Callithrix jacchus: one gene and its partners. The protein of the gene in region 1 purifies or fractionates together with the protein of each later gene. This does not show direct contact. Links are inferred from orthologs where the notes say so. Each region holds a gene or a part of one and is shown on either strand. Other genes may lie near its edges.

The links.
Region 2: the proteins of PAXIP1 (region 1) and KDM6A purify together in Homo sapiens (affinity purification with mass spectrometry; 6 studies listed by BioGRID and IntAct, with this or other methods). This does not show direct contact. The link is inferred for Callithrix jacchus from reciprocal best matches to the Homo sapiens genes PAXIP1 and KDM6A.
Region 3: the proteins of PAXIP1 (region 1) and NCOA6 purify together in Homo sapiens (co-immunoprecipitation; 6 studies listed by BioGRID and IntAct, with this or other methods). This does not show direct contact. The link is inferred for Callithrix jacchus from reciprocal best matches to the Homo sapiens genes PAXIP1 and NCOA6.

Annotation. Positions count from the first base shown.
Region 1 is NC_133512.1:93,231,045-93,234,696, reverse strand, and holds part of PAXIP1 (PAX-interacting protein 1), read right to left. Parts: intron 3,378-3,652; coding exon 2,702-3,377; intron 2,221-2,701; coding exon 2,126-2,220; intron 1-2,125.
Region 2 is NC_133524.1:45,987,279-45,990,930, forward strand, and holds part of KDM6A (lysine-specific demethylase 6A), read left to right. Parts: coding exon 1-266; intron 267-3,652. UniProt on the Homo sapiens protein: Histone demethylase that specifically demethylates 'Lys-27' of histone H3, thereby playing a central role in histone code. Demethylates trimethylated and dimethylated but not monomethylated H3 'Lys-27'.
Region 3 is NC_133506.1:4,564,795-4,568,446, reverse strand, and holds part of NCOA6 (nuclear receptor coactivator 6), read right to left. Parts: intron 2,610-3,652; coding exon 1-2,609. UniProt on the Homo sapiens protein: Nuclear receptor coactivator that directly binds nuclear receptors and stimulates the transcriptional activities in a hormone-dependent fashion. Coactivates expression in an agonist- and AF2-dependent manner.

The DNA of each region.
Region 1 (3,652 bases):
CCTTAATGAATAGTACGTGTATTTTCTCTTATGATTTTCTTAATAACATTTTCTTTTCTTTAGCTTACTTTATTGTAAAAATACAGTATTAGACATATAAAATCTGCATTAACTGACTTTATCTCTAAGGCTTCGGATTAACTCTAGGCTATCAGTAATTCAGGTTTTGGGGACTCACAAGTGATGCACAGATCTCTGATTGCGTGGCGGTCAGCACCCCTAGGGCCCAGACTATTCAGGGATCAACCGTACCCGTCCCTCCGGAATCTACCAGTGCCTTTGTTTGTTTGCTACCCAGGAAGCCTCCCTTCTGGTCCCAAGTCTGGTTTTCTCCACACCTACTTTCTCATCTGGCATTTCCCCTCACCTCCATCCTGGCAATTCTCTTCCCATCTCGGAGTCAAATCCCTCATTTCTTACCACATCTTACTCTCTACTGGCATAGTGGCTTCCTAAGGAAGAATACAAGGGAGGTACTTTTTTGACCATTAGTATACAAATATCCATATTCCATTTCTTGTGACTAACAGGCTCTATTTAGGTTGGAAATTATTTCCCCTCGAAAACAAAAGCTGCTGCTCTGTCGCTGGCTCCTGAAACCACCCCGACTCCTGATCTGTCCAAGTTTCCCTTCCAGGGAACTTGCGTTTGTCTGACAGAAAAGTGTTCTCTCCAGCCTTGTGAACGTTCCCAGAAGCCTTATCACAGCTCTCCTTCCATTTCTCTTCAATCTGGGGGCACACAGCCTTCAGCTGCCAAGCTACGTTCTTTCCTAACGTTTTTGCCTTCATTTTCTCTGTTCCCAAGCTCCTATTTAATGTCAGACCTCTCAGATAAATCCTTTAACTTGAGAACAAGACCAAAAACCCAAACTTTTCTCCACTAACTTTCATATCTTTGAGTTTCATTGTACTTCTCAGGACAGTTTCTCAATGTTGCCTTTGAACACTTGTTGACTTTTAAAAAGTTTCTGCTGCTGCCCTTCTCAGAACTGCCCCTCCCTCCCTCACCCCGGCATGTCCTTTGCCTCTCTCCCCAGCCGACCACAGTCATCTCCCTGGTTGCTCTCAGATTCAACACTTTACTACTTAAAACACACAGCCGATCACTCCACCTGCATCGAAATTCCACCACACGGTACATCAACAAGTTCTTGGAAGACACGGAAGACAGGCCAGCCCTGGCTCCTGTACCCCCTCCTGCCTTGCGGATCCCACTGAGGCACCATCCTTTGCACCCTCCTGTCAGTTTCCCCAATTACATGCCTTCGCCTGTGCTGCACTATTTGCAAACTCCTTCCCGCCTAATTCTTACTCCTAGCCATTCCATAAGCAGTTCAGGAATCACCTCTCCCAGTAGACTTTTCTTAACACATCACCCCACAACACAATGGGTGAGGGTCCTTCTCAGGCTCTCACAACGGCCTGCACCTGCCAACCTGCGTCTCCCACAGCTCTTTGGCTTTCTTTGTCTCTGCGATTTCACATACCTTCCCTAGGTCTTGCAGGCTTGGCATATAGCAGGGATTTAAGCACTAGGGATGTTTATGGTGAAGCACATTAAAAATGTATTAGAGGCATATTTAAACTCAGTTTTTATTAAAAAAAAAATGTTTTTTTGACTCAGTATTATTCTGTGGAATGCAAGAAAGAAAAAGCATGTCTTTTCTTTAAAGGCCACCATGCAAGATAATAAATAGATAAATGAACTAGTTTCACATTTGGGCTAAAAGACTTTGAGGTTCTAGAGATTCCGGGATTCCTAACAGTTACCTTTGGAGAAAGAGAAATGACTGAGATGCATACAAATTAATGGTCCTTCTCCCAGGACACCAAAAACCCGAACTTATTTCCATCATCCCAATTATATACAAATAATTAGTACCTCTCGGAATTTCCAAGCTGGAAAAAAAAAATGTCCACCATCTTCATCTAACAGCTGAGAAAACTGATGCCCAGAAAAGCACTGTGCCTGAGGTCAGAGAATGTTAATCAAAATGCCTGTCACGCATCAGAACACATGTAGGCGCAGCTCAGCGAATGCAGTCTAGTGAACATAGTTACGTCTACGTAAGAAAGAAGCATCTTCAGACACAAAGTCATCCTTCCTCCAGGCACAATCTTACCCTTTTCCATGTGGCCAGCAGTTGCTTATCAGACATCTGCTCTGGATAATCCGCAATTGCAAACACACATCCCAATAAGAAGGCTTCTTCTGGAACTAGAATAAAATTATGTAAGAAAAAGAAAATTAAACCTGATAAATGTGCTTGCACAAGTTAAAAAGTGGCACCTTACAATGTGAATCTGTTATGTTCACCAGTCTTTACCATGTATCTGCCAGTAATCAGAGTGCATGGGGAATACTGCTACAATTATACTAGTTAACTGTCTGCATCAAACAAACATTAAAAACTAAAAGCAAAATAAATTATGCCTGGCCATTAAATACCCAAATGTGTCCCTGGGGCAACCCAGATGTTCTATGGGACCCAATATTCACTTCAGCATACGATGTCCCAAAGTATAAAGGAAAGCATAATCATCCTGTGATAACTATATTCTTAGTCAGGTATGAGGCTCACATTCTCCATCTTGTAATAATTGTTTTGATATGAATCCTTACCCAACACTCAAACACTCTCAAAGCATTTATGCGGGTACAAGACTTTTAGGAGGAAAAAAAAATCTCCATTACTAACTCTCCACTGCTGGATCATGTCCAAAAAGCTGATGATGCTGAGGTGGTGGTGGCGGTGGTGGCTGCTGCTGCTGCTGCTGCTGTGAAGGCTGCTGAGATGGAACCTGATGCTGCAGTGCCTGTGACGTTTGACTCAAGTGTGGCATGGTCTGACTTTGCATCTGCTGCTGCTGCTGCTGCTGCTGCTGCATGCGCTGGAGCTGCTGCTGCTGAATCTGCTGCTGCTGCTGGAGCTGGGCGAGCTGCTGCTGCTGCAGCTGATGGAACTGCTGCTGCAGGGCATGCTGCTGCTGAAAGGACTGGAGCTGCTGCTGAGGGCGATGCAACTGCTGCGGAGGATGCAACTGTTGCTGTGGAAACTGTAGCTGTTGCTGCGAAAACTGATGCTGATGGGTTTGCTGCTGCTGCTGCTGCTGCTGCTGCTGCTGTGAAAATGGGTGTGGCGGCTGCTGGGGGTAAGGGTGCTGAGAAAGCTGCTGCTGCTGCTGCTGGAGCTGCATTATCTGCTGGGGCTGAAGGTGTAAAACCGGGTGCTGCGGCGGCTGCTGTAACATGTGTGTCTCCGGAGTCACTTTCACTTGGCTGAACAGCACTGCACTGGCATTTGTATGGCCCTGCTGGCTGTGATTCACCTGCTGTTCCAAATTTTTCGTAGGTGCTGAAAGAGTCTGTAAGATCTACAAAACAAAAGTTAGGTCAAACATGATCAACAGTTCCTGAAATGGACGAATGACAGTTTCTTAGTCAAGAGAATAATAGCATATCCTACAGATTTATTCATAATATTCAACCAAGCAGACACAGCAAATGATTGGAAACTTCAAAAACGATACTGCATTTGCTTTTATATTTATTTTGTAACACCAATATCACAAAGTAAATTCATACATAGAGACCATCAAAATATGAAACTACATCAGTAAAATGGAATAAGCTAACAAATTAAAGTGAC
Region 2 (3,652 bases), on another chromosome or scaffold:
AACTCTGTTGCCTCTTCACCATCTTCAGCCATTTCCACAGCAACACCTTCTCCAAAATCCACTGAGCAGACAACCACAAACAGTGTTACCAGCCTTAACAGCCCTCACAGTGGGCTACACACAATTAATGGAGAAGGGATGGAAGAATCTCAGAGCCCCATGAAAACAGATCTACTTCTAGTTAACCACAAACCTAGTCCTCAGATCATACCATCAGTGTCTGTGTCCATATATCCCAGCTCAGCAGAAGTTCTGAAGGCATGCAGGTTAGTGTGCAAAAGTTCGTCAAGTGAAAATGCTTGACTTACTGGCATGATAAGAATGCTGAAACATAATTTGGATCTTTTAAGCTATGGAAAGTAAGCAAAACATGCTGTAGTCATTCATCTAAAGTAAGAGTTTGACAGAAGCCTTGATATGCTTAGATGTTGAGGTCAAATTGATGTATCAGATTTGAGAAGTAATCCTGTAAATTGCTTTTTTTTTTTTTTAACCCCCTTTTTTTTTTAAATTGTACTTTAGGTTCTGGGGTACATGTGCAGATCATGCAGGATTGTTGCATAGGTACACACATGGCAATGTGGTTTGCTGCCTTCATGCCCCCGTCACCTACATATGGCATTTCTCCCCATGTTATCCCTCCCTGACCTCCCCCACATCTCGCTGTCCCTCCCTTGGCCCTACCCCCAACAGACCCCCCAGTGTGTGATGCTCCCCTCCCTGTGTCCATGTGTTCTCATTGTTCATCACCTGCCTATGAGTGAGAACATGTGGTGTTTGATTTTTTTTTGTTTTTGTGTCAGTTTGCTGAGAATTAGGTTTCCAGATTCATCCATGTCCCTACAGAGGACACAAACTCATCGTTTTTTATGGCTGCATAGTATTCCATGGTGTATATGTGCCACATTTTCCTTGTCTAGTCTATCATCAGTGGGCATTTGGGTTGGTTCCAGGTCTTTGCTATTGTAAACAGTGCTACTATGAACATATGTGTGCATGTGTCTTTATAATAGAATGATTTGTAATCCTTTGGATATATACCCAGTAATGGGATTGCTGGATCAAATGGAATTTGTATTTCTAGGTCCCTGAGGAAGCGCCACACTGTCTTCCACAATGGTTGAACTAGTTTACATTCCCACCAACAGTGTAAAAGTGTTCCTATTTCTCCACATCCTCTCCAGCATCTGTTGTCTCCAGATTTTTTTAATGATTGCTATTCTAACTGGCGTGAAGTGGTATCTCAATGTGGTTTTAATTTGCGTTTCTCTAATACTCAGTGATGATGAGCATTTTTTCATATGTTTGTTGGCCTCAAATGTCTTCTTTTGAAAAATATCTGTTCATATCCTCCTCCCACTTTTGGATGGGTTTGTTTTTTTCTTGTAAATCTGTTTTATTTCTTTGTAGATTCTGTATATTAGCCCTTTGTCAGATAGGTGGATTGCAAAAATTTTTTCCTATTCTGTTGGTTGCCAGTTCACTCTAATGATTGTTCCTTTTGCTGTACAGAAGCTCTGGAGGTTAATTAGGTCCTATTTGTCTATTTTGGCTTTCATTGCCAATGCTTCTGGTATTTTAGTCATGAAGTCCTTGCCTATGTCCTGAATGGTTTTGTCTAGGTTTTTTTTTTTTTTTTTTTTTTTTGAGACGGAGTTTCGCTCTTGTTACCCAGGCTGGAGTGCAATGGCGTGATCCGGCTCACCGCAACCTCCGCCTCCTGGGTTCAGGCAATTCTCCTGCCTCAGCCTCCTGAGTAGCTGGGATTACAGGCACGTGCCACCATGCCCAGCTAATTTTTTGTATTTTTAGTAGAGATGGGGTTTCACCATGTTGACCAGCATGGTCTCGATCTCTCGTGATCCACCCACCTTGGCCTCCCAAAGTGCTGGGATTACAGTCTTGAGCCACCGCGCCCGGCCTGTCTAGGTTTTCTTCTAGGGTTTTTATGGTGTTAGGTATTATGTTTAAATCTTTAATCCATCTGAAGTTAATTTTAGTGTAAGGTGTCAGGAAGGGGTCCAGTTTCAGCTTTCTGCACTGCTAGTCAGTTTTCCTAACACCATTTATTAAACAGGGAATCCTTTCCCCATTGCTTGTTTTTGTCAGGTTTGTCAAAGATCGGATGGTTGTAGATGTGTGGTGTTGCCTCCAAGGTCTCTATTCTGTTCCATTGGTTTATATATCTGTTTTGGTACCAGTACCATGCTGTTTTGATTACTGTAGCTTTGTAGTATAGTTTGAAATCAGGTAGCATGATGCCTCCACCTTTGTTCTTTTTGCTTAGAATTGTCTTGGCTATGTGGGCTCTCTTTTGGTTCCATATGAAGTTTAAGGTGGTTTTATCCAGTTCTTTGATGAAGGTCATTGGTAGCTTTATGGGGATAGCATTGAATCTAGAAAATACTTTGAGCAGTATGGCCATTTTCACGATATTGATTCTTCCTAATCATGAGCATGGAATGTTTTTCCATCTGTTTGTGTCCTCTCTCATTTTGTTGAGCAGTGGTTTGTAGTTCTCGAAGAGGTCCTTTGCATCCCTTGTTAGTTGTATTTCTAGGTATTTTATTCTCTTTGTAGCAATTGTGAATGGGATTTCACTCATGATTTGGCTCTCTGTTAGTCTGTTATTGTATATAGAAATGCTTGTGATTTTTGCACATTGATTTTGTATCCTGAGACTTTGCTGAAGTTGCTTATCAGTTTAAGGAGATTTTGGGCTGAGATGATGGGGTCTTCTGAATACACAATCATGTCTTCTGCAGATAGAGACAATTTGACTTCCTCTTTTCCTAATTGAATACCCTTTATTTTTTTGCTTGCCTAATTGCTCTGCCTAGAACTTCCAATACTATATTGAATAGGAATGGTGACAGAGGGTATCCTTGTCTACTGCCGGATTTCAAAGAGAATGCTTCCAGTTTTTCCCCATTCAGTATGATATTGGCTGTAGGGTTGTTGTAAATAGCTTTTATTATTTTGAGATACAGTCCATCAATACCTAGTTTATTGAGAGTTTTTAGCATAAAGGGCTGTTGAATTTTGTCAAGGGCCTTCTCTGCATCTGTTTAGATAATCATGTGGTTTTTGTCTTTGGTTCTGTTTATGTGGTGAATTATGTTTATAGGCTTGTGTATGTTGAACCAGTCTTGCATCCCTGGGATGAAGCCTACTTGATCGTGATGGATAAGTTTTTTTATGTGCTGTTGTATTTGGTTTGCCAGTATTTTATTGAAGATTTTTGCATCTATGTTCATCATAGATATTGGCCTGAAGTTTTCTTTTCTTGCTGAGTCTCCGCCGGGTTTTGGTATCAGGATGATTTTGGCTTCATAAAATGATTTGGGAAGTATTCCCTCTTTTTGTACTGTTTGGAATAGTTTCAGAAGGAATGGTACCAGCTCGTCTTTGTACGTCTGGTAGAATTCAGCTGTGAACCCATCTAGACCTGGACTTTTTTTGGTTGGTAGGCTATTAATTGCTGCCTCAACTTCAGCCCTTGTTACTGGTCTGTTCAAGGTTTCAACTTCTTCCTGGTTTAGGCTTGGGAGGGTGCAAGTGTCTAGGAATTTATTAGTTTCTTCCGGGTTTACTGGTTTATGTGCATAGAGTTGTTTGTAGTAATCTCTGATTGTCATTTGTATTTCTGTGG
Region 3 (3,652 bases), on another chromosome or scaffold:
AAGAGAGCCTGTGACTTTCTTACATGCCTTGGTCAACAAAATCTGGCCAATTTTGTCCACTTTTCCTTTGCCCTTACTAGATGAGACTGGGCTTCGCCGGTTGACAGAGGACCCTGGACTATTAGTCAAAAGGGGAGAAACCATTGTGGTTGACTGTGAAGAGGGAAGAGTGTTCTGATCTGCTGAGGTGTTCACCTGAGGGCTAGCCTCATCTGGATTCAATTCTTTCACTTGCTGGACAGGGGGATGAAGAGGGACAACTGGAGAAGATGTACAAGGAGGGGAAGGAAGCTGAACAGGGGTGGCTCGTGAGCTAAGGACCAAAGGTCGACCTGTCTGTATGTTTGGAGCAGAACTACTGGAGGGGGTATTAGGCGGTACAGGAGCAGAAAATTTTATGTTCTGAGGTATGTGTAAAGGGCCAACAACTGCGACAGAGGGAGGCATCAAGCCAGAGTTGGTTGTCAGTGGGGCTGCAGGAATTGTGCTTGGCTGTGATCCTTTCATAACCTGAATTATTGAAGATGAATTGATAAAGACAGGTGTAATGAACTGAGGCCGGGCATTAGACTGAGCAGCTGACTGTCCCTCAGAAACCATAACCTTGCTGCCCACGTTGGGCATTGTGACGACTGTTGACATCAATGCAGACTGCAAGTGAGTTGGCAAAGCTGCTGATGTGTTAGCTGAAGTTGTGATGGGATTGGAAGTGACAAATACAGTTATTTGATTTGGGGGCAAGGGAGTGGAAATGGAGGAAGAGTTAACAGGTCTTGACATTACTGGAGGGATGCTTGGTGCAACGTTAGAACTGACCTCACTCAATTCGGGATGCACAAGGGTTGAACACGGCTCATTACTGTGAGGTAAATTTAAGGAATTAGAGGGTTCTTTAGAAGAAGACGGATCCTGCAATGTGGGAATGACAGATGCTTTTTTGAGGTCCTCCCCAGAAACTACTGGAGGTGTTACTTCCAGATCTGTAAGCACAGTGGGTTTAATCGTCACATTAGGAGCTCCAGAGTTGTCAAGAAGTTGACTTAACGATGTTGGTGCTTCCCTCATAGCAGGAGACACCAAATTTTTGTTCTCTTCAACACTGGGAAGTTTGTTAGGATCCAAAGGCTGCCCATCCTTTTTGGATTGATCTTCAGGGACAACCATTTTAACTTCTTGGGCAGGGACTGCTTTTAACTCAACGTTTACCTGTTCCTTCCTACCCTGGGAATTCTGGCAATCACTGTCCTGAGGCACAATCAAGCTCTCCTTGTTATCCTCAACAACACCCCCAACTGCAGCCACAGACACAGTAGGATTCTGAGGATTTAGCCCACTGTTGTTAGGAAAGCTTCCCGGCACAGGGGGATTGGTCAGAGGAGTGGGACTGACCAATACATTTCTCGGCAACTCCACATTCTGCAACAGGGCTGCATTTGTTTGAGAGGCCAGAGTAAGTTTAGGGGCTTTAGAATTTTGCCTTCCAGGGCTTGGAGTGGTTTTCCTACTGGACCCAGGACTAGACCTGCGACTGTTGCTTGGACTTGCCCGTTTCGTTGCTCCAGAATTAGACTGCTTTCCAGAAGTCACTACCACAGAGTCTAACTTGTGAGTTTGTGGGGCAGCAAAATTGGAAGGATTCATCGTAAGATTTGAAGGTGCTTGCCCAATGGCCTTCAAAGTTGTTGGATTTAGGCCTTGTTGATCAAAGCCCCTGTTTAAATTTGGCCTAGGAGGTAAAGGAATATTAATCTGTGGAGGGAAGAGTCCTGCTATGGAGGCATTGAGTCTTTCTGGTGACAGACTGATTTCTGAAGGTTCTGTGCTGGGAGGGCGGTTGTTGGGTGTCTGAGGATAATAGGGTCTGGGGCTGGCTCTGTTTGGTGTTTTGGGCCTAGATGTCTGGGTTGGTGCGGCCACATTTGGAAAGTGGTGGCCGTGAGAGCTGGGCAGGGAATTTACAGGGGGTTGCTGGGGGGTTGCACCTTGAGTTGCTGAAAGGGGTGATGGTCCAGGTTTTGGCCCTGTCATCATTAACTGATTTTGGGGAAGTACTACATGTGACGGCATGTTGTTTGGGCCTCCTGAGACAGATGGTGCTTCACTGCCACTTGCTTCAGGGAGTGAGGCCATCTCCGCCAGTGGTGAGCTGGAAGGATTCTGCGGGCTCTCCTGATAGACCATTTTCCTTGAATTGCTTCCCAAAGGAGTAGTCACAGGCATTGGCATTCTTTGTTTATCAGGTGATGGTGGCACGGAGGTAGGTCCTTGCAGACTGACCATGACAGGCATACTGCCACTCTGTTGCATGGGCATTCTCTGGGAGTCAGGATTCAGGGGGCCTCTTGGAGGATGGACACTTTGAGAGACTGGAAGCCTAACTGATTTGGGATCCTGCTGCATCATGAGCATCATCATCATTTGCTGCTGCTGCTGCTGCTGTTGCTGCTGCTGCTGTGACTGTGGCTGACTGGGAGGTGGTGGCTGCTGCTGCTGAGGCAGTTGTGGCTGTGGCTGCTGCTGTGGTGGCTGTGGTGGGGGTGCCACATGCTGCATGAGTTGAGGAGGCATCTGCTGAAGTGGCCTCTGTTCAACTGGTTGAGAAGGATAACCTAAAACAAGCCCCCCAAATCAGGGAAGTTAGATTTTTCAGCAAGAAAATGTTGCTACCTTTAGAGTATAGCCAAGCAATACTCATCTAGGTGGCACAGATTATGCACAAACAGCTCAGGCACGCCCACTCCTGTGGCATGGGGCAGCCCCTCATTATGTGATATAAGCAAAAGGGACACAGTGCTTAAGGAAGCAAAAAGCAAAGCATCAAAAACCTAGAGCTCCTTGGTGTGCAGGGTCTGAATGAACCATGACTGTACTCACAGCCTGATTTTCTGTGCTATGCACTGAAAATAACTGAGCCTATACCAGCCAAACATTCAGGTGAAATGAAAAAAACTCCATCAACAGCAAGTGCCTGGCCACCCAGGATTCAGGTCTCATGTAGACATAATCAATATTTCAATGTACTTGTGAATGAAGTAAAGCATTTAGGATTCACTTCTTCTGTTAGAACAGGAATAATTTTTTAAAAAGATGTGATTTTATTGAAAATAGCAGAATTGAAGACAGGCTTTTTATTCTTTCAACAGAAGTAAAATATAAAATTCTAGGACTCAGTTCCTTAAGAAAGATTTAAAATTATTCCAATTCATTGGCTTCATACACTATGCCGCATCCTTGAGGCTTAATCCTTTGGGGGAAACCAACTGAATTAAAATTGCCCCTCAGACGTAAATCAGTTTGGTAAATAGCAGGAGCTAACAGAAGCTGATATACACACTGAAAATAAAACTAGGGCACTGAAGTGTTATTAATTTCCATTTACTTTCTTACATGCAAATCTCTATTTGGAGAAATAGTTTCCATGAATCCACAGCTTGAGAATAAGACAGAAGCATAGCCCTCAGGAATAAAAAATAATTTTGGGAAAAGAAACCTGAAGGACAATGTCTTCTAGATATGCAGAGGGCAACATCTCAAATGATTCTCTCTTTTGTAAAGATTTTACTTGGCATTTTAGAACCAAAACTTGACAATCAGAAAGGATAAAAAGATATGCAAACCAAGAGTAACAGTGGTTCAGTGGGAAAAAGTGGGT